Linked DNA regions of Arabidopsis thaliana. The protein of the gene in region 1 interacts with the protein of each later gene in a pairwise test. Each region holds a gene or a part of one and is shown on either strand. Other genes may lie near its edges. The genes, in order: ARR3, AT2G40450, AT5G53880 and BHLH100.

What was found.
Region 2: the proteins of ARR3 (region 1) and AT2G40450 interact in a two-hybrid assay, tested with the Arabidopsis thaliana proteins (one large-scale study listed by BioGRID).
Region 3: the proteins of ARR3 (region 1) and AT5G53880 interact in a two-hybrid assay, tested with the Arabidopsis thaliana proteins (one large-scale study listed by BioGRID).
Region 4: the proteins of ARR3 (region 1) and BHLH100 interact in a two-hybrid assay, tested with the Arabidopsis thaliana proteins (one large-scale study listed by BioGRID).

The regions. Positions count from the first base shown.
Region 1 is NC_003070.9:22,064,164-22,069,402, forward strand, and holds ARR3 (response regulator 3), read right to left. Parts: upstream 3,071-5,239; 5' UTR 3,009-3,070; coding exon 2,558-3,008; intron 2,481-2,557; coding exon 2,404-2,480; intron 2,332-2,403; coding exon 2,254-2,331; intron 2,175-2,253; coding exon 2,104-2,174; intron 2,026-2,103; coding exon 1,731-2,025; 3' UTR 1,454-1,730; downstream 1-1,453. Other genes in the region: AT1G59950 (NAD(P)-linked oxidoreductase superfamily protein), read right to left, coding at 3,870-4,097, 4,503-4,682, 4,800-5,043. UniProt on the Arabidopsis thaliana protein: Functions as a response regulator involved in His-to-Asp phosphorelay signal transduction system. Phosphorylation of the Asp residue in the receiver domain activates the ability of the protein to promote the transcription of target genes.
Region 2 is NC_003071.7:16,891,099-16,895,518, reverse strand, and holds AT2G40450 (BTB/POZ domain-containing protein), read left to right. Parts: upstream 1-2,544; 5' UTR 2,545-2,728; coding exon 2,729-2,866; intron 2,867-3,003; coding exon 3,004-3,495; downstream 3,496-4,420. UniProt on the Arabidopsis thaliana protein: May act as a substrate-specific adapter of an E3 ubiquitin-protein ligase complex (CUL3-RBX1-BTB) which mediates the ubiquitination and subsequent proteasomal degradation of target proteins.
Region 3 is NC_003076.8:21,871,477-21,875,958, reverse strand, and holds AT5G53880 (uncharacterized protein), read left to right. Parts: upstream 1-2,504; 5' UTR 2,505-2,763; coding exon 2,764-2,964; 3' UTR 2,965-3,258; downstream 3,259-4,482.
Region 4 is NC_003071.7:17,196,779-17,201,758, forward strand, and holds BHLH100 (basic helix-loop-helix protein 100), read right to left. Parts: upstream 2,677-4,980; 5' UTR 2,543-2,676; coding exon 2,261-2,542; intron 2,000-2,260; coding exon 1,553-1,999; 3' UTR 1,259-1,552; downstream 1-1,258. Other genes in the region: AT2G41250 (Haloacid dehalogenase-like hydrolase (HAD) superfamily protein), read right to left, coding at 4,084-4,113, 4,207-4,380, 4,482-4,643, 4,728-4,836. UniProt on the Arabidopsis thaliana protein: Plays a role in metal homeostasis. Confers tolerance to high zinc (Zn) and nickel (Ni).

The DNA.
Region 1 (5,239 bases):
TCTAAACCAAATATATTCAATTATTTTTCTTGAAATTTACAATACATCAATAATAACTAGTTGCATAAAAAACCTAAAAACTTCATATATGTTTAATCAGTTTTTTTTTATGTAGAGAAACTACTATTTAAAAACAGAGGGAATAGAGGCAAGTGGAATGTACCGCATTTTCTGCTTTTTTAGTCAAAACTCAAAACCAAAATATAAAAATTCGAATGCTTATAAAAGTTGGGAAATTTTGTTTTGGAAACATAAGTTACGACATTCTAAAGAATAAAGAGAAACTTTGCCTAAATCTCATTTAAAGTACTTTTACAAGTTACTAAGAAAAATGTCATTCACTGTTTTTTGTTTTGCATGTTCTGTATAGAACCCCAATTAAAAAATTGTAGAAGAATAATTGGCCGTACCTTAAGGGGACAAAAACAGAAATCAAAATGAGAAGAAGATAAAAGTAGAATAATCACATGTTTAGTACGCCAAACGTGGGGAGTATCTTTGAGCTGATTCTGTTGTCTACAATGATTATTTGATTTTGATTCATTGCATTTGCCTATCAATTTTCTTTAATATCCAGTGCCTCCTTCTAAGTTCCAATGGGTAATGTAAGGGTCTTGCTAATATAATAATGCCGTACGTTATTATATTATTCGATTTGATCCTTCATTCTGAAGAAAGTTCAAAATATTATATGCATCCTCTTTTTAAATAGATATTGTGGTCGTGGTGTGAATCAAAGATATGAGTTTGTGAGTGATTAGGAGCTAAAATGTATACTTAATGTTTTTAGTAGACCTCCTAAGATTAGATATGAATCCATAATCCCCATGATTACATGTATTTGGACAACATTTTATTTCTTCTAATTTGTAGCCATGCATGACCACATAACCTTGAGTTAGATATGATTCATATGAATCATAATTAATCCCCATAATACCATGGTTATTCAACCGTTTTCATTTCTAATTCGTAGCCATGCATGCGTGACCACATGGTCATGGTTTAGCGACATGTGATTGTGAAATATGTGGTCGTAGTCACCAACTTAGCCACTACCTATTCAATGATTAAAATTAAAAAGACCACCAACATGTTCAACATAAGTTGTTAGTTATTATAGGTGTAAATATTACAAGCCGAGTTTCAATAGTATGTGTAGTTTGCAAATGATTTTATTACTATTTTGTGTAGTCTTCTCTAATAGACAGTTATCACACAAAAATTAGTGGTAGCTAGAGTAAGTAGTTGAAAATATTCATAGAAGCCATGCGGAATATTTGAGAGTACATTTTCAAAAATATATCATAATAATACAAGATTTGGTTCTTAATATCAAAGACTATAGATTAAAGAAAAGTATCCTCAAGTCGGTACATTATTGGATATCATACTATCAAATAAATGCTAATCGCTGGCAAAATCTCAAAAGTGATTAGCAGACGATATGAATACACAGAGGTAAACTGTCACACATTATTTGATTATTATGATATTATTAGAAATAGAAACATTATTTAATTTTAAAATTATCAAATATACGTAATTAAATAAATACAATACTTGTTTTTATAAAAGTTCCTTCGTGAGCAAAGAGACCCCACGTGCAACGATATAAAAAGAGAGAGAGAGATCTATAAGTATAAACTGACGGCGTTCAAGTCAACGTTGCAGTCAATAAAACCGTCAAAAGTAAAAAGTTAACGGAGATCGTTATCACACGGATCTCTCTAAGCTAATCCGGGACTCCTCATCGGCGAATCCACAAGCGAAGTTGCAGACTCCGGCGACATTGTCAACGAATCTTCATCGTCAACCATAGACAGAGGCGATTCCACCGTAGAGTCCGAAGATTCCATCGAGGATGTGGCTGAGAGCGGAGGCGGCGGCGGTGGAGTGGTCAGCTTCCGTTTGTTTCCTTCGGCGGCGACTTTAACGTCTCTCGTCAAGTAACTCCTCAGACGTTTCACGTCGGCGAGTTTCACCGGTTTTAGTAAAAAATCCTCCGCACCTTCTTCAAGACATCTACAACAGATTTATTGATTAAATTTCCGATCACCAAAATCGGAATCAAAAAAAAAAGATTCCGGCGAGAGATTTGACCTGTCGATACGAGTCATTACATTCTCCGACGACATAATTACAACAGGAACTTCCTTAAAACTTGTCGATTCCTGTTTTTTAAGAAAATCAAGAATTGAAAAAAAAAAAAAGTAACAGAATTTGTTTTTATGGCGGGAAAATTTCAGAAACCTTAATCTTTTTCAGAAGCTCGTATCCAGTCATTCCAGGCATACAGTAATCAGTGATGATCAAATCCACCTTCAATCTCTGGTAAAAATAAAGATCAAGATCAGAATCTAGAATCTCAAAATGTTTTAAAACAGAGTTATGAGAGATTACATCGAATTCGACGGCGGCTTTGTCGTCGTCTAATCCTAAGAATTCGAGAGCACGCCATCCGCTATCAACCGCCGTGACTGCATTGAATCATCGCCGGAGAATAAGGCTTTTAAAATGTTAAAGGGGAAAGAGGAAGAATTACTAGTTAAGAAACCTTTGCAGGATGTGATTCGAAGCAATCTTTCGATGACTATTCGATCAACTAGGCTGTCATCAACGGCGAGAACGTGGACTTGATCAGAATCTAGCGGCGGAGATTCAAGTTCTCCGATTCCTATACCGATCATCTCCGACCTTCGTAGACAAGAAACGCCACCGTCTTTGGCCATAGTGAGAAAAGAGTAGGAAATGAAAAGATAGAAGAGAGATATTGCTACTAGTTCCTCTCTACTTTGTTTTATATTTTCGTTGTTATACTCTTCTATATCAAATCTTTTTATAGGTGGATCATTTTCTACTTCATTTCTTTTACAAAATATTTTCTTATTCCAAGTGACGATTAATGACACAAAACGGTACGTACCTTTTTTTCTTTTTTGGGATGGGGGCAGCAAGAAATAGCGAACTAATCTGAATAGGTAAAGAAAGATAAATTCGAAGTTCATGATAAGATATAGATAGAAAGTACCGGTTTTGCTTCTTCTTACTTTTAGGATTGGTACTAAATAGATATACTTGGATTACCAACCAAACCCATAACAAGGGTTGTTTGGTATGTATGTTACTGATTTAATGTTCAAATTCGTCTTTTTGTTTCTCACATGTACTATGCTTTTGTTGTTGTTGTTGTTGTTGTTAAAAACACATTTACTATGTTCAGAAAATGATTTTTATTTTCTTCTCTCTATTTTGATGGACCCTTGAGCTTAATTTGAAGAAAAATCTAATGCATAGCTATGTCTTGTCTCCACTTATAAATACAAACTCTTAGACCATCATAAAATATGATGACCAAAACCATAACAAGTAAATAAAAAGGTTTATAGACAAAGTGAAAGAAACATAAAATCCAAAATCAAGCTTTCGTTTTCTATCAGAAATCCCGTTCAGAAAGACTTTATCGCAATGATGAACAGAGGTTTTTCACAAGATATTGTACATATCATTATGTGATTAATTTAGATGTTTAAAGATTTTGGGGTCCATGTAACATGCTTTGAAAGAAGCTTAAATATTAAAAAAAAAAAAAAAAAGATAAAAGAAAAGGAGAAACATTTCAAACTCAAAATTGCTCTTAAAAGACTTGCATATTCACAAAAGAAAAAAATAAGAAGAAACATTTCTCAAGGTTATAAATTAGAAATGCAACTTTACAAACTAAATAATCAAGACATTTATTTTACAACTACAACATTTATGAAGGTTATACATTGGAAATGCAACTTAACAAAACAAATTAATGCAACTTTACAAACTAAATAATCAAGACATTATATTACAACTGCCCCATAATTCACACATAGTGATCAGATCTCACCGTCCCACATCTCGGTGACAGATTTTATAGGACCTTTCTCCGAGATGTAAACCTCTCCGTCAACGATCCTGCTCTGAGAAATCTCCGTCGAGATTCTCTGTTTCTCCTCCTCTGTCAAAGACCAATCAAATATCTTCAGATTCTCTTCCAATCTGTCTTTCCTAAAGCTCTTCACCACCATGCTCACTCCTTCCTCGTAAGCCCATCTCATACTCACCTAGTCAATTGTCTATTACAACTCTAAAAATGAGCTTTAAATACTTTCATTCCCCAAAACTTCTCCACATCACTCTATTACCCGTTTAAAGAGTGAGTTTTTTTTTTTTTTTTTTTTGGGTCAACGAGAGTGAGTGCACAATATAAAAATGTATCAAACAAATAAATAAGTCAATAGTCCAAAATTAAATATCGCATAAAGATAGTTTTAGCCATTATCACAATAAAAATAAAACTAATTTTCAAATGAATATAACAATGACTTTTGTTTACCGATTTGTTAAAATATTTTCTGTAATTAACAAAATTTTCCTTTAAATTACGACTGTTTTTTTTAATATTTATACGTTAAAAGAAATTTAAAAATGTTTTCGTAAATAATTTTAAAACTGTCTTTGGAGAGTACCTGAGCTACTGTTTTTCCCTTTGCCTCAGCAATTTCTTTGAGAACATCAGACTCCATGATTTTGTGAGTTCCCCAAAACGCTCCTCTCGATCCCAACACCGAATAAGCTGTCACAACAATGCCTTTCGACTTACATAACTCCCTCAGTTTTCTCTGTTGCCATACTGGACTCATCTCCACCTTTTTCACATTATCCACAAACAAATGTTTCAAATTATTTCACCAATCCAATATTTTCTTATAAAAAAAAGGTTGAACTTATTTGATAAATTAAATAAGAGAGAATTTTAAATATACTTGATTGACACTAGGTGGGATTTTTGCTATTGAAAGGATGTGTTGGAGTTTCTTGCATGAGAAGTTGCTTACTCCTATACACTTTGCAACTCCGAGTCTCTGACACTCTTCCATCTCAGACCAAACTGTTTCATAATCCATTGGCAAAAAGTCATCTTCTTCTATAGGGAACTTGTATTTACCAGGTTTCGAGCTAACCGGCCAGTGGATTAGGTAGAGATCGAGATAGTCCAATTTAAGAGTTCTACAAAACATGATATGAAAATGATGATTAAGATCATGCAACCCCGAAATACGCTTTTTGTACTTGGCTTGCAGTCCATAGAAGGCTATCAACAGGAGATCGCATGGTTAAATGGTCGGGAGACGTTACAACGGACTGCATTCTCTGTCAAGGTAACCTCGAAACCCGGGAACACCTTTTCTTTGATTGTGGATAC
Region 2 (4,420 bases), on another chromosome or scaffold:
TATCACAAACATATCATGATATAGTTATTATATATATTCTTTTTAACATGACACTTAATAGGATGTTTATTTTTTACTTTTGGCATAACTCAGATTAAGTTGTTATAGTTTAGTAAATAGTATTAAAACGAGGTATATTAATAATTTCAAATAATTTTAAAATATGTCAAAACTATTTTTCTAGGACACAGAATTAATGGAAATTTTTTCTTTTACATTGGGTCCATTTCGAAATCCCAAAATTGTTTGAAAAAATGACAAAAATGGTTTTGTTATGTGATGAGCTCAGATATTATGGAGCGTGAGATGCTGAGAACAACACGTAACAAACATAACCAAAGAAGGAATGGAAAATAAATATTTCCAACCATTTCTGAGATTTGACTTTACCGTAAAAGACTGCCCAATAAAATGACATTGGGTCCAAAATCCAAATAATGAAACCACGTGTTTTTTTAGATGCAATAACTCAATGGTATCATTGTGTTACAAAGGATTGTCAAACTTATTTCTAACCCAAATGTAGCAAAACAATGTGTGAGATTACGTTACATAAATAAAGTTTGTTAATTGTTAACCATAACACAAACTCTAAAGTTCATAATTCCGGATATTCAACAATAATACTGAATCTTTTCATGATATATTCTGGTTCTGCGGGAATCTTATGCAGTCGCGGTTCGCCGAGACTGTGAACAGTCCCAAGAAGCAAGTCCAGGTACACCCAAAAAGCCTGACGGTTAATTTGTTAGCATATGGTCAAGAGCCGTGATAATGGAGCAAAGAGTACAAAAGAAGATTAAATGATGACAAAAGATTTGCACGAGGGTTAAGGATACGACTGAAAACGATTTGACAGGCTTGCTTTGTTGGCCTCACATTGCAACTTGCAAAGAATTGAAACATGAGCATGAGGTAACTTAGGTTTTAGCTATTAGATATCTATGAGAAGGACATTGAGAGACATTAAGGGTTAAACGTATAACCACTAATAGAAAAAGATTCTTTCTCACTTCGTACATTTCTCTTGACTATAACAAAGGCAGTGCCAAAGTGGTGCATTGTACTGTTAACTGTTAAAGATAATGTTTCCTACAGATTACTCGATGCGACAAGACCTTGCTGTTTCCACCATTCATAGGTTCCTAAGCTTTCTATTATGACGTGTTTTGTCCTTCCATATGTCTATTTACAACCATAATCATCTTTTGTATACACAAAGACTGTGGATATGTGTGTATTAATGGCCCAGTGAAACAGAGCCAATCACGAAACTTTGCTTGTGGACCACTCTTCTATCTTTTTAAGGGTGAGAAACAGGAATTTTATTTACTATAGGCCCGCCACTAGATGTAACCTCCTCTTTTTGCCAGATCAACCAATAAACATCTTAGTAGTAAGCTCTTCGCTGTTTGATATAGTCCTCAGGGATCGTATGCAATGAAATATCAAAGTTAAACAAAAGTTAGATTTTAGGGAGAAAAAGCTTATTTACCACACATGTTAAACAATTTGAACCCATTTAAGGGTACATATGGGAAATGTTGTCAAACACTACTATAGTGGTGAGATGCAAATTATAATACTAGAATATCTCATGAGAAATTTGATGTTCTAAATATAACATAAAATGGAATCTAGGCATGCTCTCTTCTAACTAGGCAGTGTACTAGTCTCTCAGAAATGATAGCAGAACACTATTATCAGTAAAGTGAATGACACAAAAACAGCAAAGATATCAGTGTGTAACAGAAGATACACAATGATCATTAAGACTTTAGATTGGAACAAATGAAACGTACATATCATGTTATAAAAATTTCAACCAGAATATGTCATGGTGAGTAAATAGCTACAGATTCCTGAAATTCCTTTTCATGAGTGCTCGTAAGGGTTTTGTTCTATTTTCATGTGCTCATTGTGTTTACTTCCTGTCACAACTTTCGATCGAAAACATTAACAAAAATTAGGAAAGGCTCATACCCATACCAACTATTTGCTTCAAACAATTCGATGGGTGTGATTACTTTCATGGATTTATCTATCATATATGTTGTATACTGTTACATCCTTTTCAGAAATAGAACAAGCCACAAGAAGATAAAGAAGCATAACAGATTAAAGCTGTAGCTTGGTTGGCCATTACAGAAGGAGTTTCTTCAACTCCTTTATTCTTAATGTGTAAACAGAGAACAGCTCAACAATTTTGTCTTCAGGTTCCCAAGAGAAGACGGGAGATTCGGCTAGGCTTATTAACGTAAGAAGAGATTCAGACGACGTTGGGACAATCACAATGATCAAATTCCATTCTCCGTCATCTGAATCATCATACTTCGCATTCCTCTGTTTTGCGTACAATTTACGTTACTCAATTAATTAATTGGACCGGTTTAAGTCGATTGTTTTATTGGCCTTTGTTGGTTTTGGCCCAACAGAAGAATGTTTTATGGGTTTAGTTTAAAGCCCATTTGGTTAAGTATGTTAGTTTAGTTGAGGCAAGCTGCAAGTAAAGTAGTTGGTAAACTCTAAAGCTAGGTTTTTAACCTTTGCTTCTAATCTTAGACTACAAACCCTAAACCATTGGCCGCGTAAAAAACCATTCCTCGACTTCCGCCGTCAATTTCTCCTGGATAATTGTTCTGGTACGCGAATAATACATAGTATAGTGCCCTAACATAACATCGACCAAATCACATTCAGGTTTTATATATTTGGTTTGCAAACTGCAATGGCTACACAAAGCAACAAAGAGGCTTTCTTAGGTGGATTTAAGAAACTCTTGAATGAACAATGGCAAGCCGATGTACGTCTCAAGGCAGGAGACAGTGATGAGACTACATCTATTTTCGCCCACAAGCTTGTCTTGGTTTCTCTACTTCCTCTTCTCTTTTATTTATCATCATCCAATTATAGGGAAAAGTTACTTATTGTGTAGCAATGTTTTTGAGAGTGTCTCTTACTTGGGATGTTTTTCATTGTTGACATGAATGGAATATTGAATAGGTGGCAAGATCAGAGGTGTTTAAGAAGATATTGGAATCAGACGAGTTCAAGGCTTCATCTAAACAGATGGAGACAGTCACCCTCTCGGAGATGAAACACGAAGAATTGGAGGCTTTTGTGGAGTTCATCTATAGGGTTGATGGCTCCATTTGTTCTGCTAGTCTCAAGAAACATGCTCGTTCACTCTTTCATGCAGCCGACAAATATGAGATTCCGCATCTAAGAGACCTATGCAGAAACGAGCTTATATCATCTTTGAATTCGTCGAATGCTCTTAGCATCCTTGAGCTCGCCCAAATCCCTTTTGACAAAGCCCTCAATGATCCCGCCTTCACTACTATCATAACCAATATAAGTACGATTGCTAGTGGTGATGAGTTCAAGCTGTTTGTCGCCAATCACCCAAATCTTGCCGTGGATATAATGAAGGCTTCTATAACTAGACTAAGTACTAGCAGAAAAATCTGTGGTTACTGTAATCGCTACTACTAAAAGAACCATAGCGTTGCTTTTGTTGTTTCCTTTCTCATTTTTTCTTTGTTAAATTGTTTCATCTCTTTTTGATAAATGGTTTTATCATTTTCAAGTGATTTGACATAATTGTCACAATATCGACTTCGCGGATATCACCATTTGCATAGTATCCATAGTTTGCCAATTTGTGTCTAAATTGTGCCGCCTCTCAGAAAGATTAATGAGCATTGGGATAAGAAAAGAAAAAAAGCAAATAATCAATCTTGACACTAAGTTTTGATTTGTTTGATCTCTTAGTTCTTCTTATGTCCAAAAGGAAATAAACAGAGAGATTGTTAAAAAGTTTAAAGCTCAATTTGAGCAAGCTTTTTTTTTTTTTTTTTTCGTCGCAAGCTTTTTTAGTGCATTCCTATCATTCTTTCCTGACTATAAGTAAGGTTCCTATTTTATAAAATCTTAGCTAGAGTCTTTTAGATTCTTGTTTAGTGTGCCATACACAGAAGTGCAAGAGACAGTAAGAAGAGGTAAACAAACCATAACACAAAACTTAAAATTCTGTATTCGTCTGATAAAGTCTCCTATTAATGAGTGCAAATTAAATTCCGAGTTCTAATGTATTAATGTCTCCTTGACCAAATCCAAAAGTCTTGGGAAAAGAAAGCAAAATAGTAATTTTGACCGCCTAGGTTCTATATATAATAACCCACAATCGTTAACTAAATCATATCCACGATATATACTTTAAAAACATGGCAACAGAAACCAACAAAGAGCTTTTCGTGGGTGGATTTGCAAAGATTTTGAAAGAACAACGTCAAGTCGATGTACGGCTTAAGGCAGGGGACAGTGGTGATGAGGGTGCTTCTACTTCTGCCCATAAGCTTGTTCTGGTCTCTCTACTTCGTTTCTCCTTTTAAATCATCATCTAATTTCATAAAGAAAT
Region 3 (4,482 bases), on another chromosome or scaffold:
TTTAATTTATTATTTTTCCGGAAAATGTTAATTTTTATACATTTATGTATTTAACATGTTTTCATATCTGTTTGTGTGAATACTAAGGACCATAATTTTATAAGTAGAACTTTAGTAAATCATCATTTGCTTAATTAAAATTATGAATCTTACTATTTAACAATATTTCACCTAAAAAAGTCAACTGAAAACCCCACTTTTTCAAGTAAACAGAAATGAGTAGATATTTTATGACTATTACATATTACCATAAGTACTTGCATATGCAAACTGTTTCAACCCACATAGACTTTTGAAATTTGTATCGGACGTCTCGTGAAAGTTGTGACGCATCATGGCTACTAGCGGTGCACGTGGACCGTGGAGAGTGACGTTCCTTAGAGCCGTGTGGGTTCAGTTTGGACTTTCAGGCGGACGTCACGGGACCGATGCCGTGAAAGATGTGGAACCGTTGAACCTGAAATCCTGACCATAAAAGCCATAACCACGGGTCCCACGTGACTTTTACAGTTTTCATTGATGATATGCTTATTTGTTTGGTCTTTTTTTGTTTGCAAATACACTCCTCTTAATTTTTTTTGGAAGTGACTTCGAGATTAAACCGGTTTGCTAAACCGGGATCAAAACCATGGTTATCAACTGGTTAAGAATAAGAGAAAGAGACAAAGAGTGAAGATGTGTGTGTTCTCATGTGTGAGAGTTTGTTGGTGAAAGAGAATTGATACAACCATACAACAACAAATTAATACTAATACTATGAATAGTCTCTGAGTAATGTTAGGATAAAACTGGAGAGAGACTCTTGACTGTACTTAATTATGTATTTGAAGTAGTTTATAACATAAAATTATGGTGAGTGCACCACAACGTTAATAAAAAATGTACATATATATGAGTTTCATATAGTATAGTATTAAGTGAATTAAAGTAATGTTTGGGAGCATCGAAAATGGAGTGATGTCTTTTGATAATGTATTGTATAGTCAACTGATCACACACCGCAAATCACGTGAAGTCATCGAACCGTACACCTATCGGCCTCCTACTTTGTTTGGTTTTCAAGTCTTCTCTAAGATCGAACCTCGAATCTATCGCAACTCAATCACTATTTTTATTAGTCTTTGATTAGTTTAGTTCATTTTAATGACCTTAATTTGTCGTAATCGTCATACTATTGGTGTAGCTAATTGACCTATCTTACATATCTAAGATAATCCGGTTTGGCTAGTACAAAGAATGTAGAGAGATACAACTATAATATCTCTCCAAAACGTGTATTAAACTTTTGTGAGAGTTGTATTATGTTGTCAAAGAAGACAAGGATCTATATAGGCTACAATAGACATGTGACATACCAAACCCAAAAACAAAGATGACCCTTGTCTGGTCTTTTCATTCGACTGACCAAGATATAAATAACCAAACAAATGTTGAGAACCATTCATCCTTCAACAAATGTTGAAAATAGTTAAGAAATGGTTCAGTCGAATAAATTATCTTGAGTCAAATGGAGAATTTCAATTACTTTTACCCAAAAAGTTGGATTATTCAGATCGGGTGCGAGTGAATTAGCTCAAACCATAATCGAATCTAAGAAAAAACGTTCAGGTTTGGATGGCCTGTTATTTACTCATCATAAAATAACAACTGATAAGATGAATATGGACTCATATTCTAAGCCCAGCCCATATGAGTCTTTTCGCTGGATGAGGAAAGCCGAAAAAAATCTAAATGGTGTATGAAAATGCACTTTTGAGTATATTATAAGATATTGCAAAGAATTTACTAGAAAAAAATGAAAATCGTTCATAAAAAAGATATATAAATCAGAGTAGGGCGGCCATCCACTTGGTTTGAAAGAGACCGAAGTGGAATCCAACCATATGATAATACACATAAAGATCCAAAAGTAATATAGTCCTTTTTCGAATTATTATCAATCCTATGAATATACTTTTTCCAAAGAAATATGCATGATTCATGAATATACGTAAAAAGAAGTAAATTAGAACCAAGTGTTTTCCCACATGACATACATTACATTACATAGTATCAGTTCCCTCCATTATTCTGTACTTCCATTACCATCCCCTTTATAACCACTATCAAAATCATCGTTTATATGTTATACAAAATCGATTTCATTAAAAAAATGTTTGTGATCTAATGGGGTTGCACCGTTTAGGTCAAAATTGTCATTCTCTGATACATAATGTCAAACGGATAAACGAAAGCATGCATCCGCAGTTCGAAAATTTATGCTACATTACAGTTAAAAAGACCATTATATATAAGATTTGCTAATCTCCCCTAAAACTAAATGACAGTTCAAACTATAATTTCAAAGATGGTGTGAATACGTAAGGAAAAACTATTATGGAAGTTATCTATTTAGTTATAATACACAAACAAATTGGCCACCGTCAGTACACTATCACTCCAGCCGAGCTAAAGCTCGTGTGTCTTTTGTGTATATGCGGTTTACAAAGAAACATGATTGAAAATAAAAAAAGAATTGGTTGGAGAATGATACTAAAATTCAATGGAGTGGGACCAAATGAAAGCATCATTATTAAACGAGAAGAAAAAGACAGAATTGTTAGAGAAATGTCAAAAAAGCACAGTAATAAGTAACCCAAAAAAACAAACCCAATCAATTCTCTACTTTCATTAAAGCTTAGTAAGCAAATGTGTTATGTGTGAGTGAGATTGTGTGAGAGAAAAGAAGAAGATAAGTGAGAGAGAAAGAGAGAAAGAGAGAAAATGAAGTTCTTGTTCCAGTGTCCATGTTGCTCTTGCTTCTGCTTCATGAAACCAAAGCCGGGCAAACCAAAAGCTGTTGGAGATACAAAACCAAAGGAGGAGAAGAAGAAAGAGGTGAAGAAAGAAGAGATCAAGAAAGAGGAGAAGAAAGAAGAGAAGAAAGAAGAGAAGAAGGAAACCAAAGCAGAGAAGGCTGAGTGAAAACTCTACTTTGAGAAAATGTAATTAATTATCCCATTTTTATTATTATTTATCTGCTATTTGATGATTATGCAAGTAATAACATGTTATTTTTATGGTTTGGTAACCTTTTTAGGCAAATTATGGTTTAATCTCTTATATTATATCATTCTCTTGTTTGAATTTACTCTTATGATCAAGATGTGGAAGATTATGTTTATCGTTTCTACGTAATTTTCCTTTAATGAATTTAATTAAATCCTACTTATTTAAGTAAGTGTATGAACCAATTAAAAACTGAATCTAGTTCTTTTTGGGCTTGAGCTAAATAAAATTCACTTTTATCTTTGTTGTTCATAGAGTTTCACTGAAAAGTAAACAAGAATATCAATCAAAACATGTTTTTTTTAAGGATTATCTACATCAAGAATTTATAAGATTCTAAATATATATTTAAGTCTTGGTTTTGTTTTTTCTCTTGTTTTGAATTTTGGTTACTTTAATTTGGATCGGTTAGATTTCACTCTATCTTTTTTTTTTTGTCTAAAGATTTCACTATATCTAAAAACGCCAATTCATGATATAACAACTATGGTCTGGAAAGCGATACATGAATTCGTTTTCTTAGTGCAAATACAAAAACACTCCGATCCAATTTGTCTATGTTAGTAGTATATCAACTACCATAATAATCACCGAAAATGAATGGTGTTTCTAATAGAAAAAGGGCTTAAAACATATACTCACCAGTCACCAATGTAGTTTAATCAACAGTGTGACTATTCTTCTATACCCACATCTCAACAAGCTCGACCTTATTGGGTCTCCCTCACTAAGTGTGTCTCCTATCTTTCTCTCTCAATCACTCCATATTTTGGATCCATGTGATCGCGCGTATTCATAAAATTAGTAGGGTTTAAGATACATGTTAACTTTTTTTTTTTGGCCAAGATACATGTTAACTCAAATGTGTTTATTCACCAAAAAACTAAGGTAGTTTTCGGAAGAAAATAGTTTAACAAAAAAGAAAAGAAAAATGTGATCTCGACGTATTTAAAATCTGATATGTTTGGAGAAAACTGAAATATTGTATTTATTCAAAGCATTTTCCACACGATTTATTCAAATCACATGCCCATCTTCGTGAGCTATTCAAATTAACTTGGGCTTCGAAATTAACAATGCCCACCACATCTCACTAAAAAAATCCAGTCCCCGAAGTCCGTTCCTTACAAGTTACAAATAAGGAAGTAATAGCTAGCACCTAGCTGGCTAGTTTAGAATTCAGAAACAACAATCCGAAAGTAGAATCATATAAAGAGCTAATCACTACTATACAAGTAGACTCAATAGCTTTCATATAAATGAAATCAAACTAAAAATGGAAAACCAGCCCATTTTGTCAATAGTTTTAACAAATTTAAATCATCATTAACAAAAATACTAATAATTAAATAGATAAATCCATTAATCAAATCAATTTTTATGGGAAGTGAATTAATACGTGAGTCAAATCTCACACGTCTTCTTAACATAAAT
Region 4 (4,980 bases), on another chromosome or scaffold:
GAGGTCCTTTGTCTACATTTCTCCTCCTTGAGAAAATCACAAACTTACATTAAACAAAATAAAATTTTAAAAGACTTCTTTTTTAACTAACAGAAAAGAATTGGCTATTATCTATCATTTTCTTCAACCAAAATAATTGAATTATGTAGTAAAATAGAAGAAATTCTCATATTAGATAGCAGGAACAATTGATAAACTAAACCAACAGAAAAAAGGAAAAAAAAAAGGGAATAAAGTCAATAAACAGTATAGGTAAATTATGTTTAATTTGATAATTTTGAATAATATTTTAACTAGCAAATTTCACTTCCTGCAAAAACATTATTTATCACACTAAAAACACAAAGTTGATAGCCTAATGGTTTATACGAACTCTTTAAAAACGGCAAACGTATTTCAGTAACACAATATTAAATACAAGATGTAATATTAATGAAAATAAATAGAGCATTTGCCGAATTTAATGAAATAGTAAAGCAAGTTGGGTGGTGCCAGCAAAATAAAAAATCGAGAAATTTTCATTATTCGTAGATTTTGAATATGGAGGATGCATTGCACCTAACAGCAGTGGTTTTATATGCTTTCCCGTGGATTTGGCCTTTCTTTGGTATTTATTATTTGACCATTTGGTTTATATTCAACATTTTTCTATTTTAAGTAGTTTCATTTTTTATTTGGTCTGCTCCTTCTCAACTTGGTAGGCCTTTACAGCTTCGTTGATGCAGTCGACCCAGAAAAGTTATTCCCTTTGCAGTTTTTGGTTAAAGAATTTATGGTAAGACAAACTAGAAAGAAAGACTTAAACATTTCGAAGATCTTTTGGTTTTCTTTGTATATTATAAATTACATAGCTAGGTAATATAATCGATCATGTTAAAATTTAAGACACTAAAAACTAAATTTGAAAATAAGATTAGGTATTTTATTAGGATATTATTTTTAATTTACAAATATGCTTGTTTTTTTTTTTTTTGGTGCAAACAAATATGCCTTAGTATTTATTTGAAACAAAATGGGCCAAAATTATTCTTCCAATTAAGGCCCAAAAGCGATCATTCACCTAATTTTAGATCAGGCAGGCTTGATAATTGGGAAGATTATTATGTGTTTTTAAACACTGATTCACCATCCATAAGTTATGTGCTTCTGTTTTGATTTCAGGGTTTTTAAATATGTAATTTTGCCGAATCAAACGGAAAAAAATTGAATACGAAAGGTTAAAAAAATGACTTCAGATGATTTTTTTGTTAAAGACTTTCAGATAATTAGTGTCCACATATGACATCGGTGTGTAACCACAGATGTGAGATGACAAATCCTCATAAAATATACACAGATATATAAACCTTTACACTGTTGCACACAACCCATGTTCGCGTTGTTCTCCTTCCAAATCGGTACCAAAACGTTTGCCCGTGAAACTTTCATTTCGCCAAAATAATATAATATATTAAAATTAATATACAAAAAAAAAACCTATTTCTAAAAAGAACCTCGAATTTTAACGAGAGACAAAACAGAAAAAATATATATAGCATCGTTAATTATTAAATCATGTAAACGAGTGTCCACATTTCTCGTACAAGTACAACAATCTATCACCTAATTCTTCGGAATTCACCTGGCCATTTTTTATCTGAAGATGCATAGAGTAAAAGAGTCGCTCTCCATGAGACCTTGAAGATGAAGCACCCACAAGAACCAACCCATCTTCTTCTACACCACTCAAGACATTCCCAAACGAACATTTTTCAGTCTGTAACGATGAAATTTGGACCATCACTTCAGTCTCACTGAGCCTAGTCGAAGAAACTGTCGACGCATAGCTTGTAACCCCTTCCTCTGACTTACTGTTTTGGTCGGTGTAAACGAGATCTCTTTGACCCGAAATTTGAAACGAGAGCTCTTCTTTCTTCTTCATGAGCTTTTTAACTTGCTCTTGCAGCTCTGGTATGTACTTCAATGCTTGTGAAACTGTTGCCGAAACACTTAACTTCTTCTGCAAGAAAATACATAAAAAATAGGACAGATCTTTCAGTTTATGTTACTTGGGACCGATTTTTTTTTCCTTCTTTGCGTTAGAAAAAACAAAACATATCACTGTTTGTATCAACACCAAAATTGCAAAAGCAATGAATAACAACTTTTAGCATTTGCAAGAAAACATTTGATATTTTTTTGTTTCTGTTGAATATTAAACTAAACTTTCAAATTTTTTCATAATTTTAGAAATAGAAAAGTATATAGAATTAACAGTTACCGTTTGATTGGTGGGAGGAAGACAAGAACGAAGAGATGAGAACATTGTGTTGATCTTCTTGCGACGCTCACGTTCACTCGCGTTGTGATTAAGCTTCTTCATCACCACGGGATTGTCTAGTAATGTTCTGTTATTCTCAGACGACACATTCTCATGAGTCACCGTCAAGTCCGGCAACGGAAAATCAAGAAACGTGTTGGATACGTCGTCGGTTTCATAGAAGCTATGATCTCCGCAAGGCCAGCCGAAATTGGGATATAATGGAGGGACAAGTGCACACATTTTGAGTTTTAGATAGTTACTCTGTTCTTTTTTGTCTCTCTCTAGAAGCTGTTTCGGTTGGGATTATGCTGATGTGTTAGTTGGATTATTTATGTGGACACTCATTTTTGTTTATATATACACTGATACACACACACGGACACAAGAAAAATACTAATGACTCTGTGTTGTATATGTAATAAATTAAAATACATTGGGTCACGAGTGGACATGCGTTGACACGTGGTTGAGCACTTTTCCCCCAAGTAGGAGCATGTTCCAAGGATCACCTGTTGACCTCCGGATACAGGCATTAATATCCTAATGTTCTTATCGTAATTTATAACATAAGTTTACACTATTGTATCGTATAATTACATGAATATGAATGTATGAGTATTAATCAAAAATTCTAAATATTTTATAATGTGTCAAAATAGAAATTCGATTTATTAAGCAAATTATTTAGTTAGCAAAAAATAACAGTTAAATAGGAACAACTACTATAAGAAGATACAGAATATGCAATCACATTTTTCTACCACAAATACGTTAAGTAAACTAAGACCAAAAATATGAATTATGACGCAGCTGGAAGAAAAGAGACAGACACTGAGAAGAAGTACACGAGGATACACGGGTTTGGTGGACGTGGACTATTGAGAGGCACGAGCAAATCACGTGGAATATGTTAAGGCTTTTCTCCTGAATCCAACCATTTCTATGTAGTATATACGTAGGCATTAAGTGTTTACAAATATTTAACAAATGTATATTCCTTATTTAAATTTATTAATTACATCTTATATGGTGTAGTGTCTATCGTTTATTTTGTATTATATTATAGCCTTTCTGATCATATTACACAAGTCAACTCCGGTCATCTCGGTCAGGCCAAAAGCCTTGATTCTATTCTATTATCCATGGACGAGGATAAAAGAGAGACGGAGATATTTTGGATTTTTCCTCATTCTATTTACGCCTCTTTAAATCCAAAGATCTAAATGGGCTTCTCTAAAAACAATTGGCCCTAAGATAATTGCTTTTTCTTTTTCTTTTTTTTGCAATGAGTTTACATGTTTGTAGCCCATTATATGTAGATAATCTCTAAAATGTGAAGTATTTGACTATTTGTCAACAATTATGAACATAATGTTAAAATACAACCCACAATAATCACAGATACAGTTTGATTAGATTTATCCATTGATATGTTGGCAACTTTTGGTATTGTCCATACGTTGCCTAGGTTCAACTCTAAATTTCCATTTTTCTTGATCTCTTCTTGATCACATATTTAAAGAACTCAATTCTCCTTCTTTTATAAGCAAATGTCGAAAACAGTACAACACTTCGGTTCGGATTAAGAACGATCATGAAGCTTATTATTGATCTTTTATTATACATTGTTTTCTGGTTTTCTACATTAGCCGCAACATATATTACACACATTATGCTACAAAAGAGAAATGGAATATACAAAACTGCTCACACAAAAAAAGAAGAAGCTAAAACTGAAGTCTGAACATGTCTCTGAACCATTTCTCTCATATGCTTTTGCTTCAGACCTTCACTCCTATCCGTTGAGCAACCTGCAGAACAAAACAAAAGCACATTCATTTCAAGTAAACCAATGATTTTTAAATTCTTGAGAGATTTGAGCAAAACCAGAGAGATTCGTTTACCTGTTTAAATGACGTAACTTCACTTCCCCAGAGCCAAGCGTCACAGCCTGCGTCTCTAGCTCCCCATACATCATTCCTACGGTCATCTCCTACATGAACCGCATCCTCGGGATTCACTTCTAATAACTCACAAGCTTTTAAGAAGATAGTCGGGTTTGGTTTTTCCGCTTCAACCTGTTAAACATTCAACCAAAAACCTTAAGTATTTACACACTCACTCCCAAAACGTTTCGGATCATCAACAAAAATATATAAACGAAAAGAGGTTATCTTACTTCTGCTGAAACAGCTACAGCATCAAACCAATCTTCACATCTCAATGCACGTAGGAGAGGTCTTAACCGAGTATCGAAGTTGGAGACTATTGCAACTTTTACACCCGCTTCTTTAATAGCCTTAAACACTTTCCCTGCATCTGGATCACATAACTTCCACGCCTGGGAAAGCAAATGGAGAAATCTCAAGAGAAAGAACCAAAACTATTACTGAAGCATATGGAGAAGTAGTAGTAGAGATCAAACCTGTTCTGTAGTAAAATAGCTGTAAAGCTCTTCAAAGTACTGTGAATCCGAGCAGCCTGTTGATGCAGTCACTATATACTGCCAGAAAGGTCTTGCATCGTTTACATATCTACAAACAAAGAATCAAAAATCAAGACCAGCACAGAAGTAAATGTCTTAAGCAGACCCATTTATGAATCCAACAGAGATTCCACAGCAAATGTATATTCGAAAGAGTCAGTATTAAACCAGATATCTTTGTACGGAGATGCAT